Struthio camelus: one gene and its partner. The protein of the gene in region 1 purifies or fractionates together with the protein of each later gene. This does not show direct contact. Links are inferred from orthologs where the notes say so. Each region holds a gene or a part of one and is shown on either strand. Other genes may lie near its edges.

Evidence for each region. Proteins that work in one complex are often made in the same cells at the same time.
Region 2: the proteins of EXOC7 (region 1) and EXOC8 purify together in Homo sapiens (affinity purification with mass spectrometry; 4 studies listed by BioGRID and IntAct, counting the BioPlex papers as one, with this or other methods). This does not show direct contact. The link is inferred for Struthio camelus from reciprocal best matches to the Homo sapiens genes EXOC7 and EXOC8.

What each region holds. Positions count from the first base shown.
Region 1 is NC_090960.1:9,002,601-9,009,997, reverse strand, and holds the start of EXOC7 (exocyst complex component 7), read left to right. Parts: upstream 1-4,392; 5' UTR 4,393-4,538; coding exon 4,539-4,598; intron 4,599-5,164; coding exon 5,165-5,230; intron 5,231-6,309; coding exon 6,310-6,494; intron 6,495-7,199; coding exon 7,200-7,305; intron 7,306-7,397. UniProt on the Homo sapiens protein: Component of the exocyst complex involved in the docking of exocytic vesicles with fusion sites on the plasma membrane.
Region 2 is NC_090944.1:91,124,691-91,132,285, reverse strand, and holds the start of EXOC8 (exocyst complex component 8), read right to left. Parts: upstream 3,006-7,595; 5' UTR 2,944-3,005; coding exon 1,429-2,943; intron 778-1,428; coding exon 169-777; 3' UTR 1-168. Other genes in the region: DNA-dependent metalloprotease SPRTN, read left to right, coding at 3,521-3,786, 5,355-5,454, 6,299-6,427, 7,316-7,583. UniProt on the Homo sapiens protein: Component of the exocyst complex involved in the docking of exocytic vesicles with fusion sites on the plasma membrane.

The DNA.
Region 1 (7,397 bases):
GGGCCGAGCCGCCGGAGAAGTCCCGGCGTTGCTTCCTCCTCCTCCTCCTCCTCCGGGCAGCTGCATCGCGCCAAGTGCCAAACTTGGCAGGCTTGCAAGCAAAGCGCCGGGGCCCGGGGATTTCTTTCAAAAGCCTGTTTGCGAGGTGACTTGTTCCAGGAAAACTCGCTTGAAAAACCCCAAGTGAACGCCCGCTTTTGGTGCTGGACTCCAGGGGCTGAGCCTTATGGCCCAAAAGCTCGAGCTGCCCCCCACCGCCCCGGTGCTCGCCCGTGCTCGTCCACCTCCCTGTCCTCCCTCGAACCCTCGGCCGCGCGGCTGCTCTCAGCCGGACCGCGGTGGGCGCAGGTCTCCCGGACCCGAAGATCCTACGAGTCTTTGGGACCGAGCGGGAGCCACCGGGAGCCCAAATCCCAGCGATCCTGGCTTCCCGAGCGGCGCAGGCGGCAGGGCGAGGGCTCACCGCCGCCGCGACCCAGGGTGCTACGAGCGGCGGGCGTTGACCTAGAAATGGCCAAGAACGAGGGCTGGCAGGCAGCTCGGCGGGCAGCGCGCCCGGCCGGCGAAGGCGGCTCGTTTGCGCAGGGAGGCCGAGGCGGGAGGGAGGCCGGCCGCCCGCCCCCTCCAGCCAGCCGGGGTGCCCGGCCGCGCCGCACTGTGTCACTTGGGGGTCACCGAGTGGGGAGCCCGTCCGGGGGGCTCGCGCGCCCGTCCGGGGGCCGCTCGGCGCCCCGAGGTCTCCGGGTGAGGTTTCGGGCCGGTTCCTGCCGCGAGAAGCCCCGGAGCAGCCTCTGCCTCCGCCGGGAACGGGTTTGGGGCCGGCTGCGGAGGCGGCTCCCAGCGGAGACGTCGCTGCGGAGGGGGCCGGGGTGAGCCGGGGATCGACCCGCTTTCCTTCCCGAGCGGCACCGCCGGCGTGGGGCGGGTGCCGCCGGGGAGCCGGGGCCGCAGGAGGCGATGCTCCCTTCCCGCGGCTTTCGGTTATGGGACGCGTTAGCCGGCAGGAATGCGCAAATCTCCAGGCTTTGCACGGCTTCCCCGTCGCGGGCGAGCAGGCATCGGGCGCCGACCCGCGCGCACCGCAAACGCCCCCAGCCGCCGTCCCCAGCCGCGCGGCGGGGAGGCAGAGGGGGCATCAGCGGCAGCTGCAGCCGCTCGCGCCCCGGCCCCAAAGCGGGGAGGAAGGGCTGGGACGCGCGTGTCCATCCCCGGCACCCGAGGTCCGAGGGGGCCGGGCAGGAGGCACCCCGCACCCCGGAGGGAGTCTCTGGCCCCGGGCGCCCCTCCGCGTCCCGCCGGAGCGCCGAGTAAACAGCGAGGAGGGGAACCTCGTTAATCCTGGTCATTCATTTACAAAAAGCCATTTAGAGCTGGCTCTGCAGGCAGTTATCCCGGCGTAGGGGAGGTTTTCCCAGCGGGACCTTAATTCCCTCCGCAAATAAAGCCGGAGGGAGGGAGAGCACAGCTTGCGTCTGCGGGGGGGGGGGGGATCTGCCGGGGCAGACGGGGATTTGGGGCCGGCGCTTGGGGGCTGACCCCCACGAGCCGCCGCGCCGCCGCGAGCGGAGGGGACAGCGCGCATCCCCCCTTTCTTCGCTTGGAGGTTTTGCCAGCTGGGGCGGCCGGGAGCATCGGCCGGTCGCCCGGCCGGGGGGGGGGGGCTCTCCGCCTGGGGCGGCCCTTCGGCCCGCAGTGAAAGTTGTGTAATTTCACGGTGGTCCCGGCTCCTCTCCCGCACCCGGGGCAAAGCCCGTTGGGAGACGCCGCGCTGCAGGAACCTGGCTGCCGCGCGGGCTGCTCCCGGCGGCTGCCCGGCTGGCGTGGGAGCTGCGCTCGCCCCGGCGGCGCGGGCAGCCGTAATCCATTTTTGCAACACACGGCCGGTTTTAAACAGCAACTCCTCCTGGGCTGAAGAGCGTCTGACTCACGGCGCCGGGTGCAGGAAATCCTCGCTTCAAGAGCTACTGAATAACTGAGCTTGTCAGGACTTTGTCAAAAAATTTGCCTGAGTGAGCAAATCAAGGCGGAAACGCGCGGCTGAGCAAAAGGGCCCTGAAGCTGCCTGAACCCCGGGCTGCTCCCGACCTCGAACGGCCCCCGAAGCTGTCGGCTCCTGCTCTGCCGTCCCAAACGTGAGGCTTTTTCGGAGCAGAGGGTCCAGGTGCAGCCGGCGAACAGCTCAGGCGGGGAGCGCCTGCATGCCCGCCTTGAAAATCCCTCCTGCCGGGGGGACGAAGGGGCTTTTCCTCTCCCTCCGTCCCGCGGATGGGAAGGAGAGGGCGACTCAGCGTGGCCGGAAGCCGCTCGGCCGGGGCTGAGTCGTCACCTCCCCGACGGGGCCATCCTTTCCCCGCGCCTCCAGCCTCCGAGCCCCGAGGGGTAGGCGGCACTGGAGGAGAGCACCTGCGCCGCGTCCTTCCTGGGGCCGGGAAGGGCAGGTTTCCTTTCCGCTCCTGCCGCCCTGTGCATGCGGGTGAGCCTTCGCAGAAGAGCAATGAGAAAAGCAGTTTTCCACGCGCGCAGAAAAGGCATGGACGTGCAGCCAGGGCGGGGGGGTAGAGCACGAGAGGCAGCGCGCCTGCCCGGGGCAAGGCCTGGGGTCTTCTCTCTTACACCCAAAGGGCCAAATCCCCTAGAGCAGGCGCCTCCGTAAAACACGGGCCCGTGGTCGTGGCCGGGCCACGTCACGGACAGAAAACAGAGCGCTCGGGCGCTGCTGTCGCCCATCGCGGCAGCCAGAGCCGCGCACAGCTGTTTGCGGCGTGATAAGGTGGATTACGAAACGCACTGAAGTCGTCGAACAAAAGGGGCTCGCCGGGCTTGTTTGAGCTGCCTTCCAGAGCCGGGGCTGGGGTGACAAGGGGGAGATGAACGGGAGCGCGCAAGGCTGCCCTTGCCTTGGGGCGCCCCAAGAGAGGGGGAGGCCGGGGCCCTCCGTACGGTTAAGACCCCCCTGCTCCAGGCTGGGGGCGGTTTAGGAGGATGCCCAGCCCGTCGCGGCCCCACCGCCAGCTGAACCACCCGTCCCCATCTCCGCTGGGGAGGGAGAAGAGCGCGGCCCTCCGGCGGCGGCAGCCTGCCTCCCTGCAGCGTGCATGCAGGACGGCGTAGATGGAGCTGGACTCCTGCCCTCTTTCTGTACGTTTCTATAATTCACCTCCTACTCCGGGAGCAAAGCTGCGTAACCTTCCTCCATCCCTCGTCTCTCCCTCCGGGCACCACGAGGCTGCTAAATCCCGCGGCAGCAGGACGCCCTGAGGCTCAGAGGATCTTCCCAAGCGGGGCAGTCCCGCGCTTCACGCGAGCAGCGTACGATTAATTTAATGAAACGGGCACACCGCCTGATTTTCCCCAGATCCTTCCCCGCGGGGACGCGTTCCCGGGACGCAGCCGCCGTGCACGGCCCGTCAGCGGGGCCCGGATCCGACCCGCCGAGGGGGTCACGCCGGGCGAGCTGCCCGGCGCCCTGCCTTCCTCGCGCGGCCCTTCTGCCGCCGTGGCCCGCTTCCCCCCGCCGCCGGCCGCCCTTCTGCCTGACCCGTCGGCCGAGCAGGCGGCGAGGTGGGGAGGGAAGGAGGGCTTTGCCCGGATACGTCCTGTCTCGCCCGCTCTGCGGGGGCCGGGGCGGCCGGTCGCCTCCGCGCCAGCCGAGCGGCGGGCAGGGGAAAGTTGATACTGGAGGACATCTGGCGGACGTGGGGCTCGTCGCACGCGCTCGGGCGCCGGCGGGGAGGGCTCGTCCCCGGCGGCTCGCTCGCGCATCCTCGTCCGGCGACATGGCGGTCACCTCGCGGCCAAACGAGGCGGCCGCCCGGGGCCGGCTCCCAGGCTCTTCGTTAGCGGCGCCGCGCTAATCGCCTGCGAGCCGGGGCGGAGGGGGCCGCTGCCCGGGCTGCAGGGCCGCGGCACCGGCACCTCCCGCCTGGGCTCGGCCCGGCTTCGGGAGGCCGTGAGAGCCACGAGGGTGCGATACGGCCGGGAGGAAGGAAAAGGGGGGGGCTGATTGCCCGGTTTGGGCCAAAAAGCCAGCGCAGGAGTAGGGGGGGGGAACCAACCCTCGCTCCCACCCCCGGCGGCTGTCGCCAGGCCTCCCGCCAAGGGGGTGTCGGGACAGCCCTGTCGCAGGCACCGGGGTTGGAGAGGTTGGGCTCAGCCAGGCCGTAACTGGGAGCAGTGGGCGGTGGGGACTGGGAGCCAGGCCCGCTCCCCATAGAAAGGGGGAGCCGCACTGGGAACGCCCCACGCCACTCCCAATATGGCTGCCCGGCCTCCCCGCCACTCTCAAGGTGGCCGGCAGGCAGTGCGCACGCGCCAATTCACCCAGCGGACCTGCCCCCCACTGCGCGTGCGCCCCACCCCTCCCGTCCTTCCGGCCCCCCTTATGTGGAGGCCACTCTCTAGATGGCGGCTGGCCCGAGCGCGCATGCGCAGTGCGTGCTGCCGCTCCCAAGATGGCGCCGCGAGGGTGACGGGGGGCGGAAGAGGGTGACCGGCGAGGGGTCTCTCGGCGGAGGGTGACCTCGGCGCCCCGCGGCAGGATGATCCCCACCGAGGAGGTGTCGGCCCGCCGGAGGGAGATCGAGGGCAAGCTCAAGCAGGTGGGGCTGGGCCGGGAGCCTGCTGCGGGCCTGGCCGCGGGCGCCGGGCCTGGGGGTCTCTGCTCGTCGCCTAGGAGAGAGGCCCTGGTCCCCCCTCGTCTCTGGGCCTCGGTGGCTCGGAACCAGCCCTCGGCGGTTGTGTCGCGGCAGGTTCACGGCTGCCCCTGAAACGTGATGCCTGTGGAATACCCCTGTTGCCTATAGAGCGCCCCGGGAGACGTGCCGCCTGAATCAGGGTGCCTCTGTGGTGAAGGTGTTAATTTTCTGTTGCGCTTTGACAGCAAAGCGTGCTGCTAAGGTGTTGGGACTCGGGATGTTGGAGGGAAATGCGTAATCCTTAAAAATCTTGTTTATGATGTGATGGGTCTCTCGCCATGGGTTAATTATCCGGATTTCTTTTAAGAGGTGGCATGTTGAAATGTGACCTTAGCGTCAGATCAAGCATGGTTTGCTGTAGTGATTAACAGGACTTGTAAAAATCCAGAAATATTGTTTGGCTCTGATCTTGCATGAGCTAAATCCTCAGTGTTCAGAATTGAAGCCTGTTTTTTCCTTGCTAACGACAGGAAGAAGAAACTCTTTCTTTCATCAAAGAGAGCCTTGAGAAAAGCGACCAACTCACAAAAAACATGGTAAGGAAGGCTGTGAAGTTCAGCCCTAATGTTGGGCTTGGGACTGCTCTCTGTTAGGAGGATCCTTTCCAAGGCTCTCAGTATGCACGTCTGAGGTATGTGGAGGAAGACACCGCTCGCTCTGCAAGTATTTTAGGTTTCCCTGGTTTTTCAACGGGGAAGGTTGGTGAATGTTTCGGTCCCGAGCTTCAGGGCTGGGCTCAAATGAGCTATTGGTCTCATCTCTTTACAGACTGCCCTCCCTCATGGGAAGAGGTATTAATAGACCCCAGATTGGATTGTGCAACAGCATTATGTTGTTGCTCCATAAAGGCAGATCTTGTTTGGGGTTTATTTTAGGAGTGTTTTGTGTGAGAGGTAGAAAGTAATTAGTGCGCTCTAATTAGCGCTGGTGAGCCCTTAGCTAGCATTCTGTGCCCAGTTTTGGGCTCAGCATTTCAAGAAAGTCATAGAGGCACTGTCTGAGAAGTTTGGAAAATACATCCTAGGAGCACATCTTGAAAGAATTGTATTTTTAGCTAGAAAAGATGACAGTTACACATTCTTTATGGGTCTGCTGAGCTTTCCCACTCTTCAGAAGTGATATCATAGTATCTATCTTTTAAAAACCAAATGTGTGTGATTCAAGAGGTGGTCAGAATGGTCATTCCTGTGCTTTTGTGTTGCACATCTCAGTTTTGCGTTTCGTGGTACGTAGGAGAGTGGATGCTGGGTTCTGCTTTTGTTGTCCTTGTTACTTAAGGCACCTCCAGGCAGTTCCTGTGGATCTGTTTTCTACTCTCAAATAAAATTTTGTTCCTCTTTAGTACTGTCTTGTTTGTAAAGCATTCAAATAACATACCATTTAATTAAAGATTGACCCATCTTTTTATGGCAGGTGATCTGTTTTGTAAGTATTAATGGAAATTAGGAAATAGAGGGATTAAACAGCTAGCCTAAGGAGCCATGGCAAACTAGTAGAAGAGCCGAAAGACAAGCTGGGACCTGAAGGTCCCTGGTTGCTCTACTCTAACTGCTAACCTACTGTGTGGATCCATGTAGAAGGATGTCCTCAGCTCTGTTTCTCTCTTGGTATATAGGTTTCTATCCTCTCCTCCTTTGAAAGTCGTTTGATGAAGCTGGAGAACTCTATCATCCCTGTCCATAAACAGACAGAGAACCTGCAGCGCCTGCAGGAGAACGTGGAGAAGACCCTGTCCTGCTTGGATCATGTCATCAGTTACTACCATGTGGCTAAGGACACAGAGAAGATCATAAAGGAAGGGTGAGTTGAGCAGCTAGACCTTACTGGGGAGCTTCATCCCATTGATCTTTTGGGACTGAGGTGTAGGAACTGACTCCCCGCATTCATCTTTGTGTTCCTTGTACCTTTCCCACTCTCTTTCCCTTCCGCCAGTCCCCCAGAAAGCTTTTTGATTAGACCTTCAGCAGTCTTCTGAGGGCAAAGCCTGTTCAGACCTTGCACTGGTGTCCCTTCCAGGTTTTGTACACGTGCTCCCACATGAAGTTCATGAACTTTGGTCGTTTCTCTTCTTTTCTCTGCCCTTTTCCCAAAGATTCTTCCTGCCCTGTCAATGTTGTCACCGCATCCAGAATAAATTGAGCTGTTCTGGAGCCTGCTTGCAGTCTCCAGTAGGGTGTTGTGATGGCCTTTCCTCTGAGATGGGATGGGCAGCTTCATCTACCTTCACATTAGGGTCTGGCCGGGAGAGGAGGGTGAGGGGTGAGAGCTGTGGGCTGTTGAGTGACCAGTACTTCTGCGCTTGCTGTCTGAATTGGGTTTTTTGTTGTGAGTGGAGGCAAAAAGAATTCCCTGATCTCCTAGTAGGAGAAAAGGGAATTGAAGTTTTCCCTGATGTTTTCATCCTGAGTCTAGTCTGGTCCTTTCTTGATATCTTTATCTTCTTCCTTCACTCCTTGGATCACTGTGGTTCTCTCTTTGTTTGTTTTCTATCTTTTTTTTTTCCAGCCCCACTGGGAGGCTGGAAGAATATTTGAATTGCATGGACAAAATCCAGAAGGCGGTGGAATACTTCCAGGACAACAATCCGGACAGCCCAGAGCTGAATCGTGTGGTAGGTCCTGGGTCTGAAACCTGGCAAGGGTGAGAGAGGGACAAACATTGCCCTGCAGCTTGCTGTCTTGCTGTGAGTGGCTGATGGGCTTG
Region 2 (7,595 bases), on another chromosome or scaffold:
AAAAGGTTTTCATCACTGCAGGTTTTGATTGCAAGTTTTCAGCTTCAGGAAGGTTGCAGTTAGACTTCCAAGTTTTTCAGGGATCCAGAAAAGATTTAGTTCATATTTAATGTACAACATTTTCTGTAAGCGCTCTCACACACTGTTCATGAGAACAGTTACTTGACTTCACACCACAGAGGTGGTACTTTCTGGATTTACACGCATCAGTCTTGAAGCATTTCTCAGATCCTGTAGCTGCTTGGCTGGCTTTCCCACTCCTTCCTCAAATCTTTTTTCCACAACAGGAAGGACAGTTTCATAAAGGAAGGATGCATTCTGCCTAATGAATGCTTTCTTCTCAGGGTCCTGTTCACACCGTAAACTGTAATCAACGTGCTGCACAGCCACGAGGATGATTTCCACCAGACTCTCCAAAAGAACCATATGCAGCTCTGGAAAGTAAAGCTTTAACGCTTCCTCCAAGAAGGCCATAGTCTGCTTAGTGAAAGCTACCACAGTATAGCTAAGGTTGACCCAGCAGTCATCACCAGTGTATTGGTCAAAATTGCCTACCCCGCAGCTTCTCATCTCCTCTCTGAGTTTTCCCAGAGCCTCTGGGGTCATTAGGTTCATCCTTCTCCACATCTCTTCAGAGTTGCGATGCTTGGTGGCCTCAATGATGATATCCTTATAGCTCTGCAAAGCACCTTTGATATCCTTTACCAGAAGGGCATGAATGATGAAGGTAAGATCCAGTCCAATCTCACTGAGCTGCTTGCAGTGCTCTTTAGCTACCTTGGGTATTAATGAAAAGTGAAGTGTGTTATCAGTTTGCATTCCCCCTTTACATTTTAAAAGTTTACCAAATTTTTCATTCTCAGAAAACCGGGAACCGTTAGTTATGTTTTACATGTTTCTCCTACCCTAAGAAACTCCTTTTTAATGGGAAATCAGTAACTGAAAGACAAACCTTGCCTGTCAAAAATGCCACAGACAACTACATTAGAAACCTTTTTTTCTTCCTATTAGCAGCTGAAAGATACCATAACCTGAGAAATTAAGGACTTCTTGAAGTCCTTGAAAAAAATTAAGGAAATATAGTCCAGTACAGGCTTGGAAAACACAAGTGTTCACAGTACTCACTGTTCAGATAAACTGTGTAAATTTAAGGATCTCCTACCAGACAAAGGCAAATTAAGAGTGAACACAGGTTTTCTCTTGCTCTGTACTTTATTAGTCTTAAATGCTTTTTTTTTTGGTTAAATTTAAAAAAAGCGCCAAACAAACACCAAATGAATGATCTTAACTCGTCAATGCAGGAAACTTTTTCAAGCAACATGCTCAAAGTCCGAGTCCACAACTGAGCTAGGGTTAGAAACGGGGGGTTACAAGCTTTCCCCCTTTTGCTTAGTCCACCATGCCACACCACCTTCCTTTCACTCTTACCTTTACACACTCTGCTGCAGTAGACAAGCTCTCTTTACTGTCGAATACCTGCTTACTGAAGGCATCTACAAACATCCTCATGGAAGAACGGGCCCACACAACGAAGGCAGAGTAGCAGCCATTGTTGCCAGCGAAGTCCGTTTCAAACTCTCTTGCTGTCTCTAGGAGGCTGGTGAAAAAGACATGGCAGAGTTTGTGGATGTAGAGCAGCGTGGCACCTTCGATGCGCAGCTGTCGGATGGCCGTATGCACAGCAGCCGCACGGTTCTTCAGGAAGAGCTCGCATGCCTTGGTGGACTGGCCCAAGCGAATGAGCTGGGATACAGCCCGGCGGGTGGCCCGTGGCCCTCCTCGCAGCGAGCGGTCCGGAGACAGCTCAAAGACCAGCACATCCGTGAGCTGCCGGACCCGCTCGTCCACCTTGGCCCGCAGCTCCTTCACAGGCTGGCTCACAGGCTTGTCCCCCAGGTACTCGTTAAGTTTATCCAAGAGGTCCACCGCCCCCTCAAAGTCCCGCTGAGCGATGCAGACGTCCAGGTCCTCAGGCAGCTCCTGGATCCACTCAAGGGAGAGGTCGACCATCTCCTCCTCGGCAGGGGGCTCCTCGTCCTCCTCGTCATCCTCCTCGAAGGGGTTAGTAGATTCGGGGGGTGTCGGGGCAGGCCGGGGCAAGGCCTCCTGCTCCAGGCGGCGCTTCTCGCTGAGGGCCCGGTTGCGCTTGGTCTCCTCCAGCACCTCCAGCCACTCCTTCTTGATCTTGGCGTTCTCGGCCTGGAAGATGCGGCTCTCAGGGAACATAAGCAGCTTGAACATGTCCTTCATGGGCGGGTTGTCCTTGACATTGACCACGGCCAGCCCGTCGAGGGGGTACAGGGCGTCATAGCGGTAGGCGCCGCGGCGGTTGGGCAGGGCCGTGGCCACGAGCAGGCAGTCGTTCATGAGGAAGGCGTGCACCCGCTGGATCTGCGCCATGTGGTCGGCGTCGTACTCCAGCAGGTCGCCGTTGTACACCAGGTACTTGCCGGGGCTCTCGGGCAGCAGGTCGCGGCAGCCCTCCACCTTCTCCAGGAGGGTGGTGAGGGTGCGCTGCCGCCCCTCCTCGCTGGCCGCCGCCTCCTTGGCCGAGAGGGGCAGGAAGGGGTCGGCGGCGGCGGCGCGGCGGGCGCCCAGGGCGGGGTCGTCGCGGTCGGCCTGGAGGAGCAGGGCCTGGGTGACGGCCTCCATGATGCCCTTCTGCTCGGTGAGGATGTGGCTGAGCTGGTACATCTCGCTCTCCAGGTAGCTGATCTCGCGCGCCGTCTCGATGAACTGCCGGTAGTTCTGGTAGACGTTGCGCTTCAGGCTCTGCGCCGTCTCCTCGCTCAGCGCCTGGATGCGCTGCCGGTGCTCCTGCAGGTCCCGGTCGCCGTCCGACTGCTGCGACAGCTGCTTCACGTACTCCGCCGCCACGAAACCGCCCGACTCCAGCTGCCGCCGCAGCCGGCTCCCGCCGCCCTCGCCCAGCGACAGCGCCATCGCTACCGCCACGGCGGCGAGGCCGCCCCGCCGCGCCGCCCCGCCACCAGCCCCGCGGCGCGGCGTCCGCCCTGCCGCCGCCGCCGCCGCCGCCGGGGAGACCGCTGCTGCGCCTGCGCACAGCGGCACGTACGCCGCCTGCGCCAGCATCGCCGCGCCGCCGCGCACGCGCGCTCGGCTCTGCTCGGCTCGGCTCGGAGCGACGCGAGGCGAGGCGCAGACGCAGGCGTAGAGCGGAAGCGCCCTCAGCCCTCGCGAGCGTGCGCACAGGGAAGGAGGAGTCGCGCGCCGGGAAGGAGGAGTCCCGCGCCGGGCCCGGCTTGTGCGCATGCGCGCAGCCGGGAGCAGCAGCGCTAGTGGGCGCGCCGTTAGGGCGAGCGCATGCGTAGTCGGAGCGGGGCGGCGGCGGCGGCGGCGGCGGCGCGTCGTTTGTGGCGCAAGGAGTGTGCGTCGGGGCTGGAGCTCTTTTGGTGTGTGCGTGCGCAGTGGCTGGGTGCCTCCTGGGCTGCGGCGGCGGCGGCGGTTGGGCGGCGGTTGAGCAGCTCGGGCGGTGACGCTGGCGTCGGTGCCGTTCAGGATGGAGGAGGAGGATGACTTCGTGCTGGCGCTGCAGCTCCAGGAGCTGTGGGAAGCGGAGGACAAGGAGGCGGCGGCGGCCGCCGCTGCGTGCCCTGAGGCCTCGTTAGACTCCTCGCTGCTTCGCCCGCTCTCGGTGGTGGACGAGGCCTGGGAGCTGCTGGACCCCAGCCCCGACGTGCACGGCCTCTTCGTGCAGTTCAACGAGGCGCTCTTCTGGGGGCGCCTGACGGCGGTGGAGGTGTCGTGGAGCCCGCGTATGACCCTGTACGGTAACGGCTGGGGGAGGCGGTTGTAGGGGTGGGGCTGTTTCGTCTGCCTGTTGGTTTTGAGGGTGGCCCTGTGTGGGGAGGAGAGCGCAGGCTCTCGGTCGCGTCCGTGTGAGTGCGCCCTGCCCCTCCTCGCTCCCGGCCCTGACGGAAAGCGGCCAGCAACGAGGCAGAGCCCTCGCTTGTGCGGGGAGCCGAAGTACTCGGGGGGCGCCCAGAAAAGGGCGCGAAGCGGCGGGGCCGGGAAGCCGGTCCTTCCTGAGCCCCTAGAGCAGCCATGGTGAAGCGCTTTCACTAGCGTCAGTTTTCCCACTGGCAGAGACTTAGGCTGTCATGAGTGAGCTGCGATGCTTTTCGTGAACAGTCCAAGCAGTTCTTAATTGCTGTGTCTGAGCCTTTGGAAAAGGTTGTGACTGATCAAGCAAACAATAATTCATCTCACGATACAGTCTTAGACTTTTGGGGAAAGGAGGAAAACCGACCTGTCGCTTGTCACTATATGCTGTTACTAACTATGTCTTAGTAGACTACACTTACCAGTTCCACAGCTTAAATTCTAGGTATTGGAGTTTCCTGTTTTTTCTAACATAGGTTGTACCTCTGCCCAGGATGTGGATCTGTCACAGTTGGTATCTATTTTGTCCTTCATTTGTAAGCTTGGGCAACCATAAATGGCTTTCTCAGTGTGCAGACAAAACTGTTATAGTGGAATAAATAAATTGGTCTTAAATTGTGTATTTGAAAACTTACTTAAACATATTTATATTGGTGAGTTTTTTTGTTGCTATTTTGAATTTCTTTTATAGTTTTACAGCATAGTAGAAAGGCAAATGTGAATAAATGCATAAGAGCATGTTAACAAGATTTAGAGTAGACTTAAAAAAAAAAAAAGATAAAAGCAGGTTGCAGTTCTGCAGCAGATCAGCTAATACAGTTGCAGGATGTTGGAGTCCCTCCCCCTCCTTGTCCTTTGCTGATTGCAGTGCTCTTTGCACATTTGGAAATATTTGAGTATATTGTGCTTACAGAAAACTAATGCAACAACAGCAAAATGTTTTCTGCTGTATTACTGTGCTGAAGTGACCATGTAAAAGTCCAGTAAGAGGCAGAACTGTGCAGCTGTGCAGGGGAGAGTGTGCAGCTGAGGGTTGAACTGCAGCAACCAGCAGCTAGGTCAGTGTTGGCTGCTGTGAAAGAGCAGCCTCTGTTTTATGTTTTTCACTCCATCTGGAGTCTGAATGAGAACGCTAATTTACCTCATGAACAAATGAGCTTGGAGCATTCTACTGTGATTTTTCAGGATTGTTAGCTTTGAATTAAGTGATTGTAAGACATCTAATAAATTACAGTTGAGCTTCTAGTAGCGCAAACAGCTTATTCTGAAGAATTTGCTTGTTTTTTGTTGGTTAATGAACTTGAGTTCTTCGAGTAGCTTCTAACAGTCTTTCATATTCTAAATTATTTAGCATGTATTGGAAGAGGCAAGCATTTTAACTCTTGATTTTCAATTTTCTTCATATATTACAGAATCAAGTAACTTATATTTTGTTTCTGCATCTCTTTCAGCTGTGCAGGAGTATGTAGCTATGAAGGAAAAGGTGGAATGTGTTCCATTCGTCTAAGTGAGCCACTTCTGAAGTTAAGACCAAGGAAGGATCTTGTTGAGGTATTTGAAGATTGTTCATTAATCTGTACATAAAATGTATTAACCCCTTCCCTGCACACACATTTTACATTTTATTATGGCGTTCTTATGAGCAGTGACTTATAGATTACAAAATAGCGGTGGCTTTATTGCTATGTTTGTGTTGCTTTTATGGGCAATTCTATAGTATTCTCAGTTGTATGTTTCTAAATGGAAAACTCTTGAATGGGAGTCTACAGTCACTTGTTTATTTTACTCACTTTATAAAGGGGGAAAAGACTTCTTTTTAGCTCCAAAGCTATCCTACGATATCAAAACCACAAATACACCCAGAAAGTTTGAGAAAATGCTTTAGTTTCGCCTTTTAGGTTAAAAGGCCATTAACAGAAAATAGGGCTATGGGTTATGACTGTGAACATACCTTTGCATTGCTTTTCGTGCCTCTGCCAGATCTGCTTATATGAGTTGCCTCAACATTTGGATTTGCTTAGTGAATGGAAGTGCTGCAGAGTTTCTGCGTTCTTCTCAAAAGTCTCTTTTGTTTGGTGGTGAGGAGGGGGTGATCTTCTTGAAGATCTGACGTTGAGTTTGGGGATTATTTCTACCTCTTTGGAGAATCAAATGTTAAAATAACATTCTTTAGCATGTTTAGGTTGTGTGGAAATAGCTGATTTGATTTGGCAGGTAGAATAAGCGTTATGTTTTTATAACCGAGATTGAACAAGTGTACGCGTGAGAGTAAGGTACCACGCAAAGAGTACCAAGATTAATGTAGAGTAGCATAAATTAAAAAGTGCTTGCAGCTTAATTTAGAAATTGTATGCAATGCCTTTCCGTAAATAGCTGATGATTAGCCTTGTTTCAGACACTGTTACATGAAATGATCCATGCCCTGCTGTTTGTTACTAATAATGACAAAGATCGTGAATCTCATGGGCCAGAGTTCCGCAAACACATGCGTCGCATTAATCGCTTAACTGGAGCCAATGTCACGGTAAGCACAATCCACTTAATGTTGTGTAATACAACTTTTTCCCTGTTTTAGTACCATGTGTTTGAATAGTCCAAATGTGGTATGATTAATACACCTGTATTTCTTAGTAGACACCAATACAAATTTACATTGGACTGCTTGCCAGTTCAGTAGTTATTTTGTTGGTGATGGTGAAGGGAACGTGTTGAGGAAGATGTGGAGGGTTGTTAGACTCATGTAATTATCATATACACCTTCTGAAAGTATTTTCCTTTCAAGTTTGTTTTAAACTTGAAGTACAGAAGTTCAGAATAATCTGTTTCAGTTAAGATTTGTCTCAATAGGAGCTAATGGGTGATTGAACATGGCATTTAAAATTCATGTCTCTGACGATCAATTAAGATGATGAAGTGAGAATTTATTTTGTTATGCTGTTATACTGCTCTTTCAGTTTGATTTTCAAAATCCTTATATTGTCTACAGTGCATTCTAAATAGCACATAACGTGAAAGTCATGAAGAGATTAAAAACAGGATGGTGGAGAGATGGAGAAGCTATTTCTCACAGTAGTGGTAGAAAAAACAATTGTCCAGGAGGGGGATAAGCTTTGGAACAATGCAAGTGCTTCTCACATTACAGACCATTTATCAGACTTCAGGTTTGTTACTATAATAAATTATGTTTATTTTGGGAGGAAGATGACACTTTGAGAAGGGCTTTTTGTAGTGTGTCAGTTTATCACCAGACGGACAATTTTTTTCCTTCCTGGCATGCAGGAGGACTTTAGCTTGTATTACAAAGGAATGGAGCACTATTACATTTTAAAGAAATGTGGAGCTAGTGATTAATCTCCTGACTTATAAAATTATACATTTTCTGAATTACTGGCTTTTTTCTTTTTTAACTTAGATTTATCATAATTTTCATGATGAAGTGGATTTATATCGCCAGCATTGGTGGCGATGCAACGGCCCCTGTCAATACAGAAAACCTTATTTTGGATATGTGAAACGTTCGATGAACAGAGCACCCTCTGCACGAGACTTTTGGTGGGTGGAGCATCAAGAGACATGTGGAGGTACATTTACAAAAGTGAAGGAACCAGAAAACTTTTCCAAGAAAGCCAAAGAGAAAACCCAGCCAGCAAAACTGTCAAATTCCAAGTCAACTGACAAAGGTATTCGACATA